3 linked regions of the Rhinolophus ferrumequinum genome follow. The protein of the gene in region 1 binds, or shares a complex with, the protein of each later gene. Links are inferred from orthologs where the notes say so. Each region holds a gene or a part of one and is shown on either strand. Other genes may lie near its edges. The genes, in order: PPP2R5C, CRYBG1 and PPME1.

Region 1 (7,998 bases):
TATCTGAGCACCCATGCTCCTCACAGCATTATTCCCAATAGCAAAAAGATAGAAGCAAAGTGGGCACCAAGGTATAAATGAGTAAATAAAATGTGGCATATCCATACGATGAACTGTTATTCAGCTTTAAAAAAGAAGGAGCTTCTGGCATGTGCTACGACATGGCTGGACCTTGAGGACATTACGCCGAGTGAAATAAGCCAGTCACAAAAGGACAAATCCTGTATGATTCCACTCGTATACGAGGTACCCACAGTAGTCAAATTCATAGGGACAGAAAGTACAATGGTGGTCGCCGGGGCAGGGGAGTACAGGAGGTCACTTCAGTTTTGGAAGATGAAAAAGTTCTGCATGTGAATATGTGAATATACTGAACTGTACATTTAAAAATGGCTAACATGGTAAATTTTAGATTATGTGTATTTTACCATAATTTTTTAAAGTTTTTAGAAAGGCGGTCTCAGTAACTTCCACTTATAACTTGGATGGCGTTTCCTCTAGAAAGGTGGTCTTTCCAGGTCTCCCAGGACAGACGTGACCAGGAATTCTGCTCAGTATGGCAGAGACTGTAGAGTTCTGTCCAGAAATTGAAGAATTTCTTCTTAAATGAAGTCTGTAGACACAGCTGTGGCTTTCATGCCCATTACTTCCTGTGGCGCTCACAGCAACCATGGAGGGGGCAAGGCAGGTTGCATCACGTCCATTTCACACGGGTGCAGACCAGCGTTTCCCCACCTCAGCACAGCTGCCATTCGGGGCAGGGTTCTTTGTCATGGGGGCCGTCCTGGGCACTGTAGGGTGTTTAGCAGCATCCCTGGCTTCTAACCACCGGATGCCGGTAGCAATACACCGCCTCACCCCTGCCCTGCTACCCAGCTGTAACAGTCCAAATGTCTGCAGACGTTGCCAGATGTCCTTTGGGGTGGGGGGAAATCACCCCCATTTGAGAATCATTGGTTTAGAGAGCTTGAGCCAAGGTCACACAAAGTCTGCACATAAACCTGAGTCTTCTCATTCCAAATTTCCCATTCTTCCCTGATACAGTTATTCTCCACTTAAGGTCCCTCGAGAGCACCCCCACCCTCTCTGGCTCCCTGGCCCTCTGGCTCCAGGCCGTTAGACCAATGGGAGGCACTGGTGAGAGAGAGGGGGAAGGAGGAGAGAAAGGGAGGGGCTGTGAGATGTGACTTTGGGGTGTTTCCTTGGATCCTCAGAACTGAACAGCACCTCACATGAAATCACTGTCCACTGGACTTAATGAGCACTTGCTATGTGCCTGGCACTGTTCAGCACTCCTCATATGGGTATTTCATGTCAGTGTAATCTGAGTTACACTTACTCCCTCCAACTCCTCCACCCCAAATCTGCAGGCACGTTTGAATGGTGCCCAGTTCAGTGAGAAATGTGTTTGATGACATGTCAATGGAAATGAAGAGAGGAAAGGTGGGGGAGTAGACGAGTTGAACTTCCAGGGCAGGGAAGGCCTCAGGGGTGACCGTGAAGAAGTTACTGCCCAAGCGAGTTCATGGGCAGCCCCTCTCCAGGAGAGGTGAGCAGCAGGGGCTGGGAGCCTGGTGGGGCTGGTGATGTGGACAGAGAAGGGGGTCTTGTAAGCACTCCCCAGGCTGAGGGGCAGACAACAGCCTAAGAGAAAAAGCAGGAGGCCAGAGAAGTCTGAGATATGGGCCAAACCACAAGCAGCAGTGGAATCAATTTCTTTCACAGACGCCAGACACCGGGAAACACACAATGCCCAAGACAGGCTGGTGTACAGAGAGACCGGAGAGGGGCATTCTGGGTGGAGGAGACCACAGCTGCAGCATAGCAAGCGGGGCTGGGTTTGAAGTGGCCCCAGAAGAGACTGTGAGAGCAGGGCAGCTGTGTCACAGGCACCTTTGAAGACAAGCGCGTGGGAAGAGCTGCTGAGGGTAGATGCAGGAAGGGTACCACGGCTGATGAGGGTCGGGGCCCGTCTTCTCTCTGCCCTACTTTGATGTACCACTTCTGCTGCCCAGAGTGAAGCACCAGACTCTGGGGCTGTGGCTGTGGCTGCAGTGCAGCCAAGGACCTAGGTCCTCTGGGGACTTCTCTGATCCCCCAGAGACCTCAGAGGTGTACACGAAGTCATCCACTGTACAGAAAAGATGAACATAGAAAAAACATTGCTAGGTCACTGGGGGCCATCTCAGAAAAGTGTTCCAGAAGGGTGGGTGTCTGAAGAAGAGGAGTTTTGTGTGCCATGGGCAGTGCCTTTAGGAATGTGGCAGGCGGGGCATCTCAGAAGAGGTAGCCCTCAGGCACATGTGCACACGCTCACACACACAGGAGTATGAACACACACAATTTCCATATTCCACTAGAGCCTATTCCGTATCCTTCTTTTGACACCTATCTTTATGTTCCTGTAAAGGTCACAGCGGCCAGGACACTGCACCATACCCAGGGTCCCCTGTGAACGTTCCATAACTAATCGTGGTTATGGGATAGCCCTACTGTGGGCACATGAAAACCAGTTCAATGACCAGTGAGGAACACGTGTGCCAGGCTATGGTGTTGGCTCCAATTTCTCTGGTTAGTATGGTTTCAAGGTAACGAGGCAGCTTTTCTGGTATCTTGCCCCTACACTTGCCCCCAAACTCTAATTGAATTGATAAATACCTAACCTGACATGCACTGACACTATCCTATCAGATCCATATTGTCATTTGCCACCTAGGACACCTCTACTGGCATGTGGCAGACATAGCTCCAACTCAACACATACCAAAACCGAAATCACGGTCCCTCAAAATGCGCTCCCTGCTGTGTGCCTTCCTCATCCCTGTGCAGCCCCAACTACACAGGTATTAGCCTGGATTCGGGTTCGCTCCCGCCGAGCAAGTCTGCCTCCTGGATGTTTGTGATCCTCCTGTTACTGCCATAGAGACGCCTCACCTGCCCACACGTGGACGGTAACTAGATCCTGGATGTTCTCCTGGCCTCCTACCTTCACCCCACCCCCAACATTCCTGCTACAGATGTCTTCTAAAGGGCAAACGTGAGCATGTCACTCACCAGTTTAATATCCTTCAGTGACCCTGAATTACATGCTAAATTACAACCAGAAAGAAGTCCAATGCCTTGGGAAGGTCTCGTAGAGGCCTTTGCTCCCATCTCCGGCCGCAACAAAATCCTTCTGTGCTATTTCCTGCTTCCAACCCAGACCACCCTCACCCCAGTCCCTGTAGACTTGCCACACGTCATGTCCTTCTGGCTGCTGGTTTTGTTTCCACCAAGGATGCAGAGCACTTGAGGACAAGGGTAGTGTCTTGTTCACCACGATCCCCGCACACACAGCGGGCATGCAACAAATGTCTGCTAGGGTGCAACACTGTATCAGGGGCTGTGATCCAAGGGTACTGGAGGCATAGACTTGTCTTGGAGAAGCTCCCAGCCCGCTTAGAGCTCCATGGTTGTACTGTTTTAGAACTACTCCTTTTTGATAAGGATTTATGCTGGATTTATTAAATTGATAGCATCTATTTTATTTTTAAAATAAAAAGTTACTAAATTAACTAGGGGCACTGCTCTACCCCTCATAGTTTAACTATTTGTTTTGGAAAAACTATTAAGCTACTTAAAAGACTAGTCTAAAACCGTTTCTTCTGCACATATAGCTGTTGGAGGCTGTGCCATTTACTTGCAGTCATTTGTCTAAAAGTGCACATCCAGATACCTGCAGGCAGAACTTACTTTCAGGACCTCCCACGACACTCCTCACTTTAGACCTTTTTTTCTCTTCTTCTTTTAGCTTTCCCAACACAGAATAACCGAAAATGCTCTGCCTGGCAACTTTCAGAAACTGAAAACCGGAGCCTAAGACAAAGTGCCCAGTTATGATCCAGAAACTTAATCATCACGGTGAGGCACCGCTTCTCACACGTGAAATCCGTTCACTCCTGGAGTCTTACTACCTCAGCTATGTTTTCATCTCCATGCCTGTCATCAGAGTCTCCAACAGGTTTTGACACTAGACTGTGGAAGTAGTCTGGGTATCGAAATTAACCTTCTTCCCTTAGTAAACTCATCTCCCCAGAGCTATTAGTGAGATAACAAATCGCGTGACTACTGGTTATAATGCAGAGACTTCCTCAAATGGTTTATGATCAAGCCAATGGGAAGAATAAAATAAAACCCCATTCGCGCTGGGACCTCGGGGCGGGGTCTCGGTGAGCGGGGCGGGCATCGGCGGGCGGGGCCTACGATGGAGGGGGCGGGGCGGGCACCAGTGGGCGGGGCCTAACGAGGCGCCGCGAAACCGCCGCCCCCAGACTTCCTAGTCACCCCCATGCGCTAGAGCGCGGGCGCTTTCAAGTTCGGCAAGCACCGCAGTGGCGAGGGGGCGAGGCCGGGAGGCCGCCGTTCGCCCCGGGCCGCGTCCGGCCGGCTGCAGAACTTGTTGCCAGCCGTTTGAAAAGTGCCTTTTCCGTGTGTCTCCCTTGCACCCTGCTGTCTCCGTCCCGCACCTCCACCGCGGGCACCGGACCGTCGCCGCAGTTGCAGCCCCACGCTCCCTCCCCAGACTCGCCTGAATTCTCCCGGCCGGCCGCTCGCCGCAGCCGACGACCCTGCCGCACGGCCTGTGGATTCCAGCAAGAGCGCGGCGTGGGAACGAGAGTGGGACGAGGCCCAGCGCCGGAGGCGGGGATGCGGAAGAGCGTTAGGGCACGTGAGGGCGTCTGGGCCAATGGTAGGGCGCCTGGCGGCGGAGGGGCGGGATCTGCGCGGGGGCAGGGCGGGGAGCGGGGCTGGGAGGCGGGCGGGGGGAGGGGAGGAGAGCGGAGGGGCGGAGCGGGGCGGGGAGGGCCGGGGAGAGACGCCGCCGCTGCCGCTGCCGCTGCCGCCGCCGCGGCTGCCGCAGCCTCTGGGAACCTGGAAAAGGGGAAGCGCGAGCCAGCGAACGGCTCAGTCCCCGGGCGGCTGCGGCAGCGACGGCGGCGGCCGGGAGGGCGCGACGGCCGGGGCGGGGGCGCTGCTGCTGCGGGGGGCCGGCGGCGGGGGCGGCCCGCACCAGCCATGCCGAATAAAAACAAGAAGGAGAAAGTGAGTCAGGGCCCGGGCGGGCCGGCGGGGAGGCCGGCGGGGACCTGCCCAGGAGCCGGGCGCGGCGGGGTCGGGGTCCTGCGCCCGGACCTGCGGCCCCGACGCCGGGGTCCTGAGGGCACCAGGGCGCCGCTCCGCCTGCTCCCGGAATGGGGGGCGGCCCGGTCTGGGCGGGGGTCCTGACTGCGGCGTGGGCGCCCGGGCAGTGCGCGCGGTGGGCGTGAGGGGCAGGTGCAGCCGCCGAGGTGGTTGACCAGCCTCGCAGAGCCTGGGAAGGGGCTTCAGGGGTGGGGGCCGCAGACGTAGGCGGGACCCGGCCCGGAAGAAAGGGAGCGAGCGAGTGCACCCCGCTTGATGTTTGTGAAGAGTCGTCTGCTCTGCAAAGGGACCCATTGAGGCTCTGTTACCGGGGTGGCGGCGGCGATGGCTCCGGGTGCTGCGTTTGCGGGGGCGTGTTTGTGCTTCAGGCAGGGCTCTGGGACCACCTCGGGGATCCCCGCTCTCAGGGTTTCGGGGGGATGTGGGTCTTCAAAATGCTGCGAGCACTGTGTACATTTGCGTTTATCTGTTTTTGCTTAAAGTTTTCAACTTCAAACACAGATAAAACGAGGGGAATCTGGATGGTGGGGGGCAGGGTGGCGTCTATCTTAGTTACATCTCTAAACAATATGATATAGGGTTTGATGGTATTGATTAAAACTGTCGTTAAGTCCTGGTTAAATTGTATAACTCAATTTTAAAACTGCATTTTGATTTATCTGTTGTTGAGCAGTCTAAAATTTGAGAAGCCTAATTGATTCTGCTTGATATTTCCCAGGAATTGCCAAAAGCAGGGAAAAGTGGAAAAAGTTCAAAAGAAGGACAAGACGTAATTGAACCAGAGGTAACTGTTCTCAAACGCTCACTTCCCGCTTGTTTATAAACAGCTCTTAACTTAGGATAGAAAAACGGAGGCTGATAAAATCTAGGGTTTTGTAATGTTTCCCTATATGAGATTTCCCCCCAGTGTCTTTCATAGCCCTCAATTTTAGTTATTTAGGTTTTTATAATGCTTTGGTAAAATATGAATGTTTCTATGAATATTATGCGTATCTGTGCTGCTGGGATTTTAAAATTCACCCTTACCCCACCCCCATTGCTCCCCCACCCCACCCACATCTAGCAGCGGTCCTGTAGAGACTGGTTGGTTCCACAGCATCTGTCTCAGCTGGACTTTTTCATGTTCCTTTTAGCTTTCCATCCTCCCACTTCCTTCCTTTGTAAGTGGCCAAGGTCCCTCTCTCCTGGGCTTATCTCCTCCTTCCACCGCCGTAGCTTTCCTCAGTGCTGTCTTTGCTGCTGGTTTTCTGGGCCACCTCCTTTTCTCTGTTGATGTCTGGTCCCCTTTAGTCTCTTTCCCCAATAGTGTTGGTATATTTTGGTTTATCTAGTTCGGGTATTTCTGTACAGTCTTCCATCCTCTTTCGCATTTTCTCTTTGTCTGCATTTGCCAATTCTGACTTCTTTTGCTTCTTGACTTTGGGCTCATTGGGTAACAGCTGCAATGCCCGGTGAAGATTGTGTTGACGTGGTGGGGTCGTGGCAGTCTCTTGACACCCTTGTGCTTTGAGAGCATTTGCAGAGCCAGCCTTTGGCGTTGCCTTTTCTTCCTTGTGACTACTTGTTGAACTGGAGCACATCGGGCTAAGGGTCCAGGAGTGGTGTGGACCCAGGCAGAGCTAATAGGCCCTTTTGAAACATTAGGAGCAGAGAAGCTGCTCAGTGTCCTAGTTCTCCAGGGCTGGATCGTGGAGGTCTCTGGTCTTATCACAGATGACATTAATTTGCAGGTGTCAGACCCCTTCCTATGTAAGCCAAATTAGGATGGTTCATTTCTGCGTGGCCATTATCTGCAGTAGCCTTTTTTTTTTTTTTTTTTGCCCCAGGTAATCTTTTCCTTATCAGTTGGTGCATTCTAAGCTTCCCTCCTCTTGGTAGGTGATTTATTCCAGCAAATGTGTTGCTCTCCCCAAAACAAAAAGTAGAAATCCAAACGGTTCCTTAACTGTCAATATTAGGGATGATTTGTGCCAATCTTTCCCTGCCCTTTCTTTATAGCAGACAATCGAATTTTACTGTCATTCTTGTATTTGATTTGCTTATTTGTCTAAATTGCTTACTTCCGTGTCAATTTAGATTAAATTGATTTAAATGAAATTTAGTCTCTCTGGAAGAGTGTATACTTTTTCTTTTCTCTTTTTAATTTGTTGATCTTTCATTAAAACTGCTAGACGTCCTTCCTAGTGCTCCCCAAATCTTTCTTGCTCACGTACCTGTGTCCTCTCACTTGTTAGTGTCCCAAAGAAGTCTCAATGAGTATGGTTCATTTATTCCTGTTTTAGCAGAAAGAACCCGGCTGAAAGGATGGAAAAGATTAAGTTTGAACCTGAAAAAAATCCATCAATAACTGAAAGATACCAAAACCACTAATAATGTAAATTACGTGTTTTTAAGGTGGATTGGGTTCCTAGAGTGTCAATTGCTTACGACCCTTTGAAGTGTGGCCTGCAGTGTCTGAATGTGATGCCCCAGTTGTCTTTTTGTATTTTTTCTAGCGCTACTAAGAGCTGGAGCTACAGAGCTTGAAATTACCACTGAAAAATACTGAAATGTGGGCCCTTCACTACTTCCTCCTAAGGATACCAGAGGCAACATGGCATGTTAAGCATGACACTGGCAGATGACCGTGTAAATTATTTTGCAGGAATACAAATTAAGGCTCTGCAGTTCACTTGAACTTTGAGTTGAACCTTACTTTTTTATTGTTGTTTTTCTCTTCTCAGTCTTCATTTCACTTCTTCACTTCTGGTTCCACCCACTTACCAAACATGATTGACTCAGGCAGGTGAATTAAACCATTATTGCACACTCTTTTTC
Region 2 (7,682 bases), on another chromosome or scaffold:
ACTTGCCCAGGGTGACATGACTAAGTGTCACAGTAAGTAGAACAGGGACATTGTTCCTGAAGAGCCCATACTCTGAATAAATTGTCTACAAAATAGAGTAAAATTCAAAACCTAATAAATGATAGTGTCACTAGTGGCTACTAAGGAAAGTTGGCCAATAGCTCACCATGCCCTCTCCACACACACCACCGGGCCGCTGATCTCAAGAGACTAATGGGAGACAGGAGGCGTGGCTGGCCCAGGAGGGTAACAGCTCTGTTTCTATGAAAAATAACATTAACATGTTTACTGAAACCAAGGTGAAGAAAACCTTTAAGGGTGAATTTTAGGAAAACAGGCAGCCATGTTCAAGTCCTTTTACGTAAAGAAAGAAAGTAACCATCGTTAATTTTCAGAACATCAACACTAAAGGCCACAAATATTTGCAGAATACAGAAATCTGACATCAATAAACTTTGAAACATCATTGGAATAGTAAGCTCTTCTAGGAAGAAAAGCATTTCCCCCCATCTAACCCTGTTTTTTTTTTCCATTTCTTCCATTAAATCTTTGCATTAATAATGATGATGATGATGATGGTTTTTACATTTACTGAATTCCTACTTTTTGCCCAGAAGTGTGATAAAAGTTTTACATTTTATAACATAAAAACTCATTTGATATTCACGACAGCCCTGCAGAGTCAGTATTACTATTTCCTCCATTTTCCAAATGAAGAAACTGAGACTCAGAAAGGTAAAGAAACTTGTCAAAGGTCACACAGCCATTTCATTTTTTTAAAACCTAAAAGCTCATAATATTAACCGTATGTGCCCAGCAAATGCATGTAGCCACCTGACTGTCCCACTCTCATGTAGAGACAAAGGCCACAGTGAGGGCTGCACATTCTGCCCGAGTTCCACCACCTCCAAGTCCTGGACAGGGTCAGATGGCTCAAGAGAGCCACACTGGCCAAAGACCGACCAACCTAAGAGCACTTTGACCACTCTCTTTAGACTAGAAACAGGTATACTCTCTCAGAAGTAAATAAAATATTTTAAAAGATGATTTAACTAGAAAAACATCCCAAAGACAGACCAGTATGTTTAGTTTTCAGAACATTTGTCCGTACAAAGTTCATCATAGTTCTGAAGGGAAGCATAGAGGGCTCCAAGACTGAACTAAAATACAAGAGGCTCAAGGAGAGAAGCAAAAGTTCCTGTTTTAAGTTTTAGTTTAAAATGTATTTGCATTTGAATAAATGGTCCATAGGTATGAATGATTACATCTGGATAGACAGCAAATGATAGGGCTACATCAGATAAGAACGACCCCTATGGAAATATTTAAACTATTTACTGAGGGAATAGGAAAACTAGTATGAAGTAACATTTTGTTAGAAATTTCAATTCGTAATGAAGCACAGCATGTCTTTGAATAGATAAAAATATGTTCTATTACAACCAATTACTGGATAATAAAGTGAGAAAAAAATAAAATGCCTTCTCTCTTAGTACTTCTCTCCCTACCCCCTCACACATACTCAGATCACGCTGAACCACTTGCGCTTCTGAGGAAGTACCATGCTCTTCCGAGTATTGGCGATGCTTCCAGTATCGCCTCTGCCTGGAACTTGTTGCTCCTCCCGGATCTGACTAAGCCACTTCAGCTATCCTCCTCCACGAAGCCTTCCTGGATCCCCTACTCTGCGCTAACATCTATCATAGCATTTATCCCACTGTTCACTTTTTGGTCTCCACAAGAGACTAAGAATTCTTTGATGGCATAGACCCCTCTCATTGTTTTTTTTACAGCCCAGCATTTAGTTAAGATGCTCAATAAAATTTTTACTAAATGATTGAAAACATATTGCAAAATTCAGACTTTTTTAAATCTGAAAGGAAAAATATATCTAAAATGCAAATCTTGTACAATTTTACTCTGGCCCTCATTTTTCTTGAGAGTGTATTTTAAAAACACACACAGAAGGAATTACTGGACATTGCCCACTGTCCTTCATTAAAAACCTTTTATACCTCCAAACCACATAAATATACTGTTACTTCAAACTGATTATTATGCAATAAATGTAACAATTCAGATAATGCAATTGAATAATTACACATATAGAAGAAAATCACCACAAAATCATGATAAAGATTTAAAAAGCACAATGACAATTATACTTTGAATAACTCGGTGCTGCCTCGTTTTTGCCAGGTATTCCAATGGGGACAAGCCATTTAACCCTTTGGCCTCAGGTTCTCCACCCATAAAATGGGGGTAACCACCCCTGCCACTTCCTTCTCCGTTCCGATATCGCCAGGAGAATGGAGATATAAGAGCTGTAAGAGTGGGGATCTTCACAATGAAAGCCCCATTATCCAACGTATTATGTAATCCCAAGGTAGAGTTGCTATCATCATTCATTACGACCTTTCACTCTCCTGCTCTTGTTAGCAAGTTGGTAGGGTAGACTTGCAAAATTCTTTGCCAGTCAAAATCAAGGCCACCTGGGTGGGCACAAGTTCCCCTCGCTGGTGCTTGGTCTGAGCGAGAGGCAGCAACGAGCCTGAGCACCCCGCCACCCCCCACACAGAGGCCACGACTGCGCCCGTCTGGACCCCGTTACACTCCTGCCGGATGAAACAGACCCTGGGCTTGTGCCCTTCTCTAAAGGGGTTAGAGCGAGGCCACCGGTGGAGAGGACCCAAGCGTCCATGTAGCTGGAGTACCTCGGAAGGAAGAGGAGGTGCGCCTGGAGGGCTGGGGCGAGGAACTCACCTGGCCTCGCAGAGGGCCGCCGGGGGCGGGTGCGGAACGAACACCCCACAGTCAGACGGCGGAGGCTGCTGCTTCTTCTTGGGGCGCCAGATATGGAAAGGGGTGTGCTTCTTGGAGCTTCTGGAGGGGCTGGACTCCCCGGGGTCGCCCTGAGATGGCAGCGACAGTGGCATCTTCTTGTCTGCCTCCTCCTCCACCCGCTGCTCCGATGCTGCTCTCTCCGCCGCCCGGCCCTTGTGAAAGAACATACCTGGGCGCCGGCTCGCCTGCCTTTACCCAGCGCGCTCTCGGACCCCACCCCCTCGCCAGGGAGTTAGAGAACGAGGATAGAGCCCAGCAAGAACAGCACCGCTGTGCGTGCTTTCCCCGCGGAGACCGCCCTGGCGTGGCACAGTGCCCCCGCGCGGCGAAGGCGGCTCTGAGCGCCAGCCCAGGTGAGGCGGGCGCGCCAAGAGCTCCAGGTAAGCACGACGCAGTCCGGGTCTCCGGCTCCCGGGTCACGGCTGCTGGGGGTGGGGGCCCCGACACCTACTGGAATCCCTGGGAACTGCGTCTCCAGACTGCATCCCCTCCTCTAGACTGGGGACCAGAGCTAGGTCTGATTTTGACAGCATCTCTAGTGCATATGCCATCGGTCGCCTGCAGAGTTGGCCGCTTGCGGCCTGTGCCAGTCTGGCAAGATGAGTGGCTTTGCCATGAGCCCCGCCTGACGAAGGATGGGAGAGGCGCATCCCTTGGCCGGCCCACCCGACAATTAGGACTATTCCTATCTGGCCCTTGGGTGGCTTGGGCAATATAGTCGTATGCTGGCTGGCTTCGGTTCCTGTTTGTAAACACGGGTGCCAACTTCTCTCCTCTCCCTTTGAGAGTCAAATAATTAATTTGTACTTGCATCTCATAAAGCACAAAAGGCTAAAAAACAGAAGGTAATTAGGCATATTGCCCCGTTCCCAAAGGGCTTAGTAGATCCCTCATTGCGAATTAAATGCCAGTCCCACAAGGTTCTAGTCTTCTGCTTTACTACTAATGATTTTCTTTTCTTAACCTCACAATCGTGGTTAAATAATAAAGGCAACTAATATTTAAGCAAAGGAAGTACATGAACAATTGTTTTGGGCATTATTAGAGTACAAAGAGCTCAAGATCTAAGTATTGCTTAAAAATTCAGTGCAGTACAAAGTCCCTCTTAAACTGTCTTACCTTCTTTCTTTTCTCTTGAAAGACTCAGCTCATTCACTCACTCACTCATTCAAGGAACATTTATTTGATTATTTTTATATTTATGTTTTTATCAAGGTATAACCTATATACAGTAGAAAATACACAGATTATTAGTATATAACTCAAATTTGTGGTTGGAGGTGTAAAATTATTTTAATGAAGGACAGTTGATATTGTCCCAGAAAATCCTTCAGTATGTGGCTGTTAAATAAACCATTAGAAAAATATACAGTATTTCAAAAATTTCAGAAATCTCTCTCCTGTCCCCTTCCAGTGTCTTACTCCTTCCTCCTATAAAAGTAAACAATTATTCCAACCTCTATCATCATAAATTAATTTTGCCTCTTCTGGAAGTTCATTTAAGTAGAATCACCATATGTACTTTTTTGTGTCTGGTTTCTTTTGCTCAATATTAGTCTATGAGAATCATCCATATTGTTACATATAGCTTTTCATTTTTAAGAAAAATTATTATGCACTATTCCATGATATGAATATACCTCAATTAATGTATCCATTCTGTGAATGGATACAATTTATGTATCCATACTGTGAACGGACATTTACAGTTTCCAGTTTGGGGTTATTACGAATAAAGCTGATGATGAACCTTCTTAGACATAAGCATTCATTTCTTTTGGATATATACCTAAGAGTTCAATCTCTGGGTAGTAGAATATGCATATGTTCGGTTTTAGTAAATTTTGTCAAGCAAGTTTCCCAAATGGTTGTACCAATTTATACTCCTTTCAGCAATGTTTGAAATTTCCAGTTTTTCTGCATCTTCATCAACACAATATTATCAATCCTTATTATTTTGGTCATTCTGATGGGGGTGTAGTGGTATCTCATTGCAATTTTAATTTATGTTCCCTCAAGAAATATTTGTTGAGTTTATTGAGTACTGATTATGTGCCAGGCCTTGACTTGGGAGAGGGGCCTGACTGACAGATACATGAAAGGGTAAGAGAATAGGTAGAGGTATGTACCAGGCATTATGCGAGTTTGAAAACATTACTAACCCAGCCTGGGTGTTTAGGAAGGAGGAAGAGGCGTGATCTGTAAGGATTTAGTATTAATATAAAAGCGGCCCTTGAATTGAACCTTAAAGGGCAAAAGGAACAGCAAGAAAAGGGGAAGAGAGGGAAGAGGGAAGAAGAGAAAAGAGAAGCAAAGGGGGAAAAGAGAAGAGGGGAAAAAGGAAGTCTTCTTGTGCACACTTGCTGAAATATTTACAAGTTCAGTAATTTAGTCTTTCATTCCTGACTCCTCCAAGCAGAATTCTTTATGCCACCCCTCCTTTGTGCCACCAGTGAATCTGGAACACATTTCAGTTATCACACTATTCACATTACGTGGACATTATTTATTTACATATCTGTGTCTCTTATTAGCCTGAGAGAAACTTAAGGACATTTCTCACTGACTTTTATATTTTCAGGACATGAATCCCATTAAGTGAAATAATTAATCAAATGAATTGGTATACTAACCTAATTGGATACCTAAAATGTTTCAGGCACAGACCTTGTATACTGTACACTTTATAAGAGCAAAGATCACAATGTGTCTGTTTTCACTATTACATCCCCAATGACTAGCATATTGCATGGCACAAAATAGGCACTCAATACATATTTTATATGAATCATAGAATATATTGGAACTATGCATAGAAGCGTAAGATACAGTATTTGTGATTAATCTAGTGAGGGATATAAACACTTAAATACAATACAACTTGGTATAATAAAACTTGATATGTTCTAACCAAACTGTTTCACTATTTGTCAGTCATTGCAAAAGCAGATCCACTCAAGCTTGTTTAAGCAATAAATTAATTTGTCACAGCATATTAAGTGGCTTATAGAATACCCCACAGAGCCAAAGAGCGAGAGACTCTGAAGCCCAAACATGCCCTGCCACCCCATAAAGCTGGTCTAACAAACACCACTCTCACCACCTCTCAGCACTAGGGGCTACGCACCAGCAGCCCTGCTACTGCCACCCCAAGAATCAAAGTCCTATTCTGACCATTCTTGGCATATCAGCTCCCCACCTTAACCTCCTGACATACATGTTGCTCACTTCTGGGGAGAAAAAAAAAGTTCCATGCTCGTATATCTGACTGGGGAAGCCTGGGCCATTTAACAGCTTTTTAGCTACACGGGAAATTTAAATTTTCTGGTTTCTACTTCAGAGAGATGGAATTCACGCAGCTAAAACATAGCACAGGTATTCAAAAGAGTAGGTGGCCAAAAGCATGAAGATGGTCACTGCTGAAGGAAAGGGCAAAAGGCTATGGGAACATAGAAGTGACAACTCTAGATGGCTCAGGGAAGTCATTAGCAGGGATGTGACAGGTTCATGAGCTATGCTGATGAATAAGAATTTACCAGATGGCGATGAAAGTGCTGGCAATTCAGAAAGAGTAAACAACATGGGCGGAGGCCCAGGATTGTGAACGGGTATGTGTTGTTGGTGGGGAATAGTGTCAGTGAGATTGGAGAAAAGGGGGATGGGTGGGGCAGAGTGGAAGGAGATGACATTGGTAAAAATCAGGTGGGCCAGATTGCTAAGCACTTGCTAAACCATGCTTTTAAGGAATTGGGACTTGACTTTGTAGGCAGTAGGACTCCGCTTACATTTTTTAGTAGAAGAGTGACATGATCAAACTTGGGTTTTATAAAGTGTACCCTGAATGGAGTGGAGTCAGGAGAAACGAGTAAGGTAAAACTATTTGAGGGAGATCCGTTAAGGGGTTGCTGTAAGAAGTCAGGTGAGAGGTGATGGGAGCCCGCACTAAGGCAGTGGGGTGGGAGTGGAGAGGAGGGTATGAATACAAAATACATGTAGGAGATGCAATCACCAGGAATTGTAGTGAACGAGAGAAAAGCAATCTAGGATAACTATGAGGTTAATTTTCTAGCTCAGGCAAATGGATGGAGGTGGAAGCATTAACTGAAAACAGGAAAACAGGAGAAACATCAAGGTCTCTGGGCATAAAAATAAATTTGGTTTTGAACATATTGAGGCTGAAGTGCTTGGAGGCTGCTAAGGCAGAGATATTTAATTCATTGAAAAAATATGGTTCTGAAGGTCACAAGCCAGGACTGCACAGGTAGATTTAGACATCATCACTAAATAGGTGGGAGTCAATGCCATGAAATTAGATGAGATTATCCAGAGGAAATGTGTAGAAAAAGGAAAAAAGAAGAGCAAGGACAAAACCCTAACATTAACACTAACATTTACGTATTTTGCAGGTAAGGGAGAGCCTACGTACAACAGAGGCCAGACATAGCTGCTGAAGAGGTAGAAGGATATCTGGGGCAGAGCGTAGCCCCTCAACAAGGTCATGTGATTTCTATTTTCAAGATTTTGCTAGATAGATAGAGGTAGGGTCCTCTATCTTATAATGCCCTGTTCACTTCTCTCCCTCTGTCCAGCAATCTGAAGTCCATTTCAAATCTCCACTCATCCTCCCTTCAACCTACGCTGATTTTTTTCTCTCTCTCTAATGTTCTGTTACACTTTCTATCTGAACTTAAGTTGACATTATGGTAGATTATAAAAATGCCCACAATTTTTCACTCTTCCCATAAAGAAGCAGAGTCTATTTTCTCACTGCCTAAATGTGGGTTGGCCATGGGACTTGCTTTGGCAAATGAAACGTTAGCACATGTGAGGCAAAGCAG
Region 3 (7,875 bases), on another chromosome or scaffold:
TATAGAAACTCAAGAAAAATCATAAACTCAAAACCACCCTGAATATGCAAACACATCTAAGTAAGGTTTAGTGAAATTGAAGGCATAAAATTATGAAAAATAGTTAAGAGAGTAAGTCACATAAGTGACTGTCAAAGGAATAGGCCCAACTTGACAGTGAGAGATGGGAGAGTAGGAAAAAATGATAAGGTAAGAAAAAAGCAAGTGAGTAGGAGAAATAAAGAAGGATGCTTTGAAATTGGTGAAAGTGAGACTTCATAAATCAGGACTAAGCAAAAAGAAACACTGAATCCTAGAGTATTTGCAAAAGAATAAGATATAAAACTCAAACTAAGTATTCTCAGAATAATAACTAAAAATCCAAAAAGACACAGTGGGTCTCAGAGTCAAGAGACCCATGTTCTAGTCCTTAGGGGCCTTACCACCAAGCTTCTAGGGTGCCTCAGTATGAGGAAGATTTGAGTTTCAGTTTTGCCATTTATTAAGAGAAAATTTTGTCCCCTGCCTCTTAGTTTAGTTTACAGAACACAGAATTTTTTGAGTCTCAGTTCCCTCAACTATACAGTGAAATGCTGAGATGAGATCATTTCAAAGCTCTCTTCCAGCTTTATGATTCTAGGGGAGAGTCTGTTATTATCACTAACATTAAATGAGGCCTGCCTATGTTCCAATCAGGAAGTAGAAAAAAAAAATACAGGGAAATAAGCCACTTGAGGACCAAATAAAATTCACCAACATATGGTCGTGTCCTCACAATACTATAAAGAAGCATCTTTCTAAATAACTTTATTTTCCGGGATAAGCAGTTAACCTAAACTAAGAAAACGAAAGCATCTATTTAAAAAGGATAAATTACTAACAATTATATAATCGTCTAATCAGCAGATTTTCCCGTAATTTTCTCTTAGTATTTTTCTTCAGTTCTTCATCTTCAGAGAACTTGTTTTGACAAAGTGAGAAGCTGAGCTCTAATTAAACTTATCTAAAGCATGTACAGCTATTAAAAAACTATTATTTTTGTACATTTTTACCGAACAGTGCTGGTATACTGAAAGATCAAATTTTAGATTACGATAGGCAGCAACTAAGATACACAACAACAATAAAAGTTATTAACTTTATACTCCAGGTTAATTTTCCCAAATAATCTGTTATGGATCAGTTTCCAGATCCTCCTTATTATGCAGTCCTACATTTCTGTCTTCCAAAGACAAAACCATCTTCATCTTACCTTATATGCAGCCTTCTACCATCTCTTTCTACTGTGCGTCCATTGACCTACCTTCTCTTGTCAAGGTTTTTCCATTTTTCTACTGTACATCATAATCAAGTCTCCACTTCAATTCTTAAGTTTCCTTCCTGGGTTTTTTCAACCATTCTCACCGCCTCCTAACCCAATGTTTTAATTTTTAGGACTCTGCTTTCTCTTCATTCCTAGAACCTATTTTCACAGTACTACATCTCCTATCTTCATCTCCTTTTTGATTAGTTCTTGTACATAATACTTCTTGAAAACCTAAGGTTTCTCTTCTCTAGTCCTTACTCCAAGAATCTCTACCAGCCCATCTCCAGAATCCCAAACACACTCTGGACTACCTAACACCCAAGTGTTCTTCCTGCCCCTTTTCTCTACAGTCACTAGTCTCCAGAATCCTGTCTGATACTACAAATACCCCTCAAAACCAACTGCCTATTCAATTCTCTCTGCTTTCCAGCAAGTACCTCTCCCACGTTCAACTCATTATGCTTTCTCCTACACTGAGATCCCTAACCTGGCACAAACCATTCACCAACCTACAGTTTCAAAAGTCTATCTCCTCAACACAGCTTTCTTCCTAGTAAACGGCTCCTCTGAAACATTTTAAATGGCTACTCTCAATCCTTCATTAATTCTGAGTTTTATCAAACCAGTACATAGCTTCCATCGGACCTAATTGCCCAGCAAAAATCAATTGCCCAAATCTTCCTCCTTACGCTTCCCAGACATTATCTCTGCAGCACTTCCATTCACTAAACCCTATTCCTCGTCATTTCTCAATTTCTAAAGTCCATCGTCACTCTCTAAGCTCCTCAGCCCGCATCACTCCTCTTCTTGTTCCCTACCCTCGCTTCTCATTACATTTCCTATTATCCTTCACTGTCTCCTTCGCTATGTTCTCCATCTTTCTTTACGCCTCTTCCCCAAGCTTTCTCAGTTCTCCTAGTCATCCCCTAACTCCCTGAATCTGCCTCTTACCCCTTTAGGAACTTTCTCTAGAACCTTCTGCTCCCCAGTTTACTTTCCTTCAGGTGTTCTCTAGTCCCCTCAGCTTTTCTAATATCTAGTTCTCATAGTCTTCTTACTCCTCGCAAATTTTTCCCTAGTTGTTGCCCCTAATTCCCCTCAACTTTTCACTCAGTCATCTTCATTTCCTTCAATCATCCCCGGCAGCTTTCCCCCCACCTTTATCACAGCTGTACTCCCTTTCTTCAAACCTCCTCCATCCCGTCTTCTTGAAGGGCTTGTTATATCTCTTAAACTACCCTCTGGGCCTCTTCAATCTTTGCTTATTCCCTGTCCCTTCAATACTATTTGTCCTCCAATTTCCATGGACTTGGCGTCTCCCCTAGTGCCCAAATCTGCCTTCTACTCCATCTAAACGTCTCCAGGCCGATCGCCAACATTCTCTCCTCTCCGTAGCCTCCCTGTCCGTGCAGCATTAAACGCCCATAGTCGACTCCATTCTCCAATGGCCGGGGCCTGGCCTCTAGGGAGAAGGGGTACTGGTCACGTACCCCATTCGCATCTTGGCTCCGCTCTGACTGCCCCCGCTGCCGGGCAGAGGGGGGCGAGAGGGCAGGCGGCCGAGGTGCATGCTCTTCTCGAGGGCGGACATGAAGGGGAGGCCGCAGGTAGTCAAACAGGAGCCGAAGCTTCGTCCCACGATATGTGCGGCCCAACCGGTCACAGCTCGCCTCTCTACCGACGCACAGTCGCTTTTGGACAGCACCCAGCTACCGGCAGCACCGCCTACCGCCCACCGGCTCCGTAAACTCCACCCCCTCTCCTCAGGCGGTTCCACCGGAAGTGCGCAACAGCGCTCACAAGGAAAGCTGGGTAACGAAGTCTGAAGAGCCCTCAGACCCCAAGCCGGGAATCTTAGCGACTCTTGCCGGAAAGAGAAGCGCTCCTAGGCAATGCACCCTGGGCAATGGAGTCCTCAAAGGGCGTATCCCTCTGCGCTTGCGCAGCTAGAAGAAACAGCGTCCAACCCCGCAGAGGTAGGGTAGCAAAGCATCCTGGGTGTTGTAGTGTATGAGCGCTAAGAAGTCTTGGCGCCTTCCCTTCTCACGGACTCCCAGAGACTGTTAGAGGAAGAGCAGCTTCTTCCTGCCTCCCAGGCTGCCCAGCGGCGCCGGTTGCCGAGGAACACAGGCGCGGTGGGAAGGGATGGCGGGAGGCTACGGCTTAGGTGCTGGGACCGGAGTTGAGTTGATGAAGAGTTCCGCCTCGTCATGAAACAACGAAAAGGCCAAGGGCCTGGGGGCGGTCGTGGCCGCAAGAAAAGAGGTAACCTGAGCGACCAGAGGTTGTGAAGGTGTAATAGGGAGGAACAGGGGAGCAGGGTGTACGGAATTCTAGGGAGACCTCCACACACTCCTGTTAAAAAAAAAAAAGAAAGAAAGAAAGAAAAGGGAAAGGGACAGAAGAAGGAGGATAACCAGGGAATGAGAAGGTTAAAAGAGAGGGCAATTGGCCCTCCAACGAATGGTAAGGAAATAGGGTCTGGCGTGGGGGGCAAACTGGACAAATAAATAGGGAGAGGTGTAGACCGAAAGGGTAAAGGTAGGATGCTTCTAGAGGAAGGGAACAAAAAATTCTCGAAAATTTTTTTAACTTTTTGGAAATTGAGATATAATTGACATTAACATTGTTAGTTTCAGGTGCCCAACGTAATGATTGGATATTGGTATATATTGTGAAGTGATCACCATAGTAAGTCTAGTTAGCCTCTATCACCATACATAGTTAAAAATTTTTTTTTTCTTGTGATGAGAACTTTTAAGACCTATTTTAGCAACTTTCAAATATACTAACTGTAGTCATTGTGGTGTACATTACATCCCCATGGATTAGGACTGTTTTTGGTAACAGTTAAACGTGCGGTGGGGGGAGGGGTATTCCTTTGGAGGTCCATGTAGGGCTGGAAGAAACATAAGTTGGAGAGGGGAGTATGTCAGGAATCCTAATAGGCAAGAATCACACTTTATACATTACTCCCCAAGAATTAGCATGAAGCAGAACTCAGTAAATGTTAGTTGAGTGAGTGAAGCATGAAACAGTCATGAAGCATGAAGGGCTACAGGTGAGAACTGGGAAAGATAGCTGTGGGGGAAAGAGGAAGAAAGAGTGGAGAGTGACATGGTGTGTAAGTTAGAGTTGGAGTGGTGTTAAGGACATGAGGCTCTCTGAAGGATTTGAGATGATGAGAGGGTGTGTAGCAAGAGGACCTTATCGGGTTAGTATGCTCCAGGAGAAACAGTTCACTAAGAGAGTAGGGAAATGTTAGCTGCTGGAGGAACAGTCACCCTAGGAATCCAAGGCAGATCAGGAAACTGGAAATTGAATCTCTACAGCACTACCTCAAAAAACGAAACAAACAAAACCCATCATGTTACTGTCTTTTTTACATTATACGCAAAGAGGTATTGGGAATAGTGATGGTACATTAGGCCATTGGGTTGAGGACTGAAGCTGCAGTCTGGGAATGAATTTTAGCTACGTTGTTTAAAGTTAACTAAGTTTTGAAGCAGTGTCTTTCCTGCCAGGAATGATGGGAGGATATGAGACACATGGAAGTAGTCAATGCAGGTGTTCCCTATGTCAAACTGGTGAAGCATATTTGGTTAATAGAAAAATCAAACTAGAAATAACGTAAGAATGCTCCCCTCTCTATACCATCTGCATATGCAGTAATGCTCACGTAAACACCTGTGCATAATTTTTATATTGAAACTAGCTATGCATAAAGGTTATGGTGGGTCTTTTCTCCACTCTAGAGAACAGAGAGGGTGTTCACTTAAAAAATCCTAAGAATTAGTTATATAGATTCCTGATCTATAGACTTCAGTATATTTTCTTCTTGTGAGGCCTGACCATTCCCCAAAGGAAAAGTCAGAGGACTAGAAATGTATGTGTAATATGCTCGTAAGAATGGTTTCTTACATCTCCCAGTCTTGGTTGGAAGATACATTAAAGTTTTATAGAAAGACATGATTAATTGCCTCATTTATATTTTATTATCTGTCTGAAAACCAATAAATATTATGAAGCCAGCTCGTGCTATAAATCTGAAGACAATCTGTCCTCATGGGCTGTGTGATATTAGCAGCAAAGGAAACAGACGATTTAAGGTGGTCTTTATTGAAATGCTGAGTTGTACAGTATAGACTTAATCGTTTGAGAGTTGAGTTTGAAGGGAGTTCTAAATTTAGTGATGGTTTTGAAGTAAGAGAGTTAGGTAAAGATAACATGTCTTAAGGACTGTGGACTTTGCAATAATCAAAACGACAGTACTTGGAAGAAAACTTCAACTACTTCTGAGATTTTAAAAACCTATCATTGTATTTGTATTTTTAAAATGGTATCTTTCAGTTAAGGAGGAGTTTGTATTAGCATGTCTGTGGGGACAGAGCCAGGAGTGCAGTTTCCAGGCTCTCGGCCTCACGTGGAAAGGTGCTGGCTCAGGTAGTAAATGGCCATCAACTGTGATTGGATGGCTATCAGCTGTGTCTAGTTGGCCGTTAGCAGTAACCAGTGAGCCATTGGCCACTAATATAACTGCTGTGGCTACACTAGCAGAAAAATGGGAGCTAGCAAGAAGATGGTGGTTGAGCCTGCAAGCAGAGCAATGAGGGTTGTGAAGTGTGGCTCCTGCTTCCTGTGTCTCCAACCCAGCCGCCAGCGAGCGTATAGTGGTATGACTCCCCTACCTATGGCTCCATGGGTGTTCCTTTTCGGCCTCACCATGTCCTGCGTTCTTATGTGGGGAGCAGGACCAGAGACCGACATGACACCCTGCATGACAATGTCTTAAGTTGGTATGTTCTTATAATAACTAGAATCAATATCTACATACTAAGTAGATATTGGTGGCTTAAGTGATCATGTAGATTATTCTGTGGTTTGCTAGTTCTCATGTATTAGAATAGGTAGGATAAGCCTGCTCTCTGTAGAGACTAAAGCATTTTTTTGTGTTTTCATTCAAAAAAACAGATAATATGTTTTCTATATTTCGTCTACATTTTTACTTTGTGTTCTTGGATTCCTCCCCAGGTTTGAGTGACATTCCTCCATCTACAAGCCTGCCACCTCTGGTTGAAGGTCAGCTACGCTGCTTTCTGAAACTTTCTGTTAATAAAGTCGTATGGAAGATTGCAAAGCCTCCCTCATGTGTACTTGTCCGAGTGAGATGGTGGGGAGAAACATCAGATGGAACCCTCTTTTGTCCCAGGGACACATTGCAGACTGAACCAAAAGCTGTGAGAACAACTACACGTTATGCTATTCGCTGTGGTCCAAAGCAATTTACCTCTTATCTAACGGGTAAGTTTTTGTCTTATCATTTCACTACAGGCCTAATAAGCATGTGGTTATGTTGTTAGCATAGGTACTATTATGTACATAGTATCTGTGACATTGTTAATTATTGAGAAGTCAAAGAGGTTTTATAGTAGCCATCATTTATTGAGAGTATTCTATGTGCTTTCAGTTGATATATATTGTTTCTAGTCCTTAATAACCTGCAAGATAGATGTTTTTTCTGTTTTATAAGCAATGAAACTGAGGTTCAGAGAGATTAAATGAATACTCTCCAAGGTTACACAGCCGATAAGTGGCAAAACTAGGATTTGAACACACTTCTGTTTGCAAGCAAAACTCTTACTTTTCACCACATCATGCTTCTTTAAGTAATAACTATAGTCTCTGCTCTGGGACTTATGTTATGCTCAAGGAAAGGATATAGATGTAAAATTTACTACTAGTACAAGATAATGCATGCTAAATGCCAAATGAATGGTTTAGTGAGTTAGTACCACAGGTTTTTTAAGAGGGGAAGGATTGTTCTACAAGGACCCAGGAGCCAAAATTTCTTCATTTCTGTTCAAGGAAAGCATTCTAAATGTACTGTGTTATTTCTCTATTCAGGTCAAGCTTTCAGATAAACATATTTTGAATGGTGGAGTTATTTATCAAATCAATATGGTTTAAGTCAGTAAAAGTTAAGCATGGATCACATAAACATTGTTGGGCTAAGAATACTGGAGAGTCAAGGTGAATTAAAGATTAACCGGTCCTTATGAAGCTTACGTTCTATCAAGAAAAATATTTTGAAAACGTCAAAATGTAAAGAACAAAAAAATTCAGTCATTCAAAAAATACATATTGAACATTATTAGCATGTGCTACACATTGTGCTAGCCACTGTAGGAATTGCAAAAATGAATGAAAAAAAATGAATCAGAATGATATCTAATTTTAACTAAATTTACAGAGCAGTTTAGTTACAATAGTGGGTAGAAAGTGATAAGTGCTTTTAAAGGCTACCCGTAGATACTCTGGGTACTGTAAACCTGAAACTTAAATCCTCAGGTGGTATTTTTATATAATTTCACAAACGAAGAGTGATTAGAAATTTTTTAGTAAGAGACAAAATACGTGTTAATATGAAATTAACAGGTCAGACATTTATTCAAGCATCCTGTGCTAAAAGAAAGAATGCATTACACTTGGCATTTGAACTTTAGATTGGTATTATCAGTTGTGGGACTTGGGGAAAGTCCCTTCCCATTTCTGACCCCCCCCCTTTTCCTCATCTGTAAAATGGGACCAAA

The links.
Region 2: the proteins of PPP2R5C (region 1) and CRYBG1 are in contact, whole or in part, in a crystal structure (PDB 6VRO), measured with the Homo sapiens proteins. The link is inferred for Rhinolophus ferrumequinum from reciprocal best matches to the Homo sapiens genes PPP2R5C and CRYBG1. Residues at the interface, in NP_002710.2 of Homo sapiens: Lys183, Thr184, His187, Tyr190, Gly191, Leu194, Arg197, Ala198, Arg201, Glu226, Ile227, Ser230, Ile231, Asn233, Gly234, Phe235, Ala236, Lys240, Glu242, His243, Pro265, Gln266, Tyr269; in NP_001358171.1 of Homo sapiens: Pro1136, Phe1138, Ala1139, Met1140, Pro1141, Pro1142, Ile1143, His1144, Glu1145, Asp1146, His1147, Glu1149.
Region 3: the proteins of PPP2R5C (region 1) and PPME1 are in contact, whole or in part, in a cryo-EM structure (PDB 7SOY), measured with the Homo sapiens proteins. The link is inferred for Rhinolophus ferrumequinum from reciprocal best matches to the Homo sapiens genes PPP2R5C and PPME1. Residues at the interface, in NP_002710.2 of Homo sapiens: Asp180, His187, Arg188, Tyr190, Gly191, Leu194, Arg197, Ser230, Ile231, Gly234, Phe235, Ala236, Lys240, His243, Asp313, Gln341, Tyr348, Glu353, Tyr354, Glu399; in NP_057231.1 of Homo sapiens: Arg37, Lys38, Arg39, Asn192, Lys217, Val251, Glu252, Gly253, Ile254, Ile255, Glu256, Glu257, Pro345, Gln346.

What each region holds. Positions count from the first base shown.
Region 1 is NC_046289.1:2,951,863-2,959,860, reverse strand, and holds the start of PPP2R5C (serine/threonine-protein phosphatase 2A 56 kDa regulatory subunit gamma isoform), read left to right. Parts: upstream 1-4,971; 5' UTR 4,972-5,055; coding exon 5,056-5,082; intron 5,083-5,899; coding exon 5,900-5,965; intron 5,966-7,998.
Region 2 is NC_046286.1:59,667,269-59,674,950, reverse strand, and holds the start of CRYBG1 (beta/gamma crystallin domain-containing protein 1), read right to left. Parts: upstream 3,034-7,682; 5' UTR 3,012-3,033; coding exon 2,764-3,011; intron 1-2,763. UniProt on the Homo sapiens protein: May function as suppressor of malignant melanoma. It may exert its effects through interactions with the cytoskeleton.
Region 3 is NC_046294.1:49,200,463-49,208,337, reverse strand, and holds the start of PPME1 (protein phosphatase methylesterase 1), read right to left. Parts: upstream 3,070-7,875; 5' UTR 2,877-3,069; coding exon 2,776-2,876; intron 1-2,775. Other genes in the region: C2CD3 (C2 domain-containing protein 3), read left to right, coding at 3,496-3,550, 6,317-6,586. UniProt on the Homo sapiens protein: Demethylates proteins that have been reversibly carboxymethylated. Demethylates PPP2CB (in vitro) and PPP2CA. Binding to PPP2CA displaces the manganese ion and inactivates the enzyme.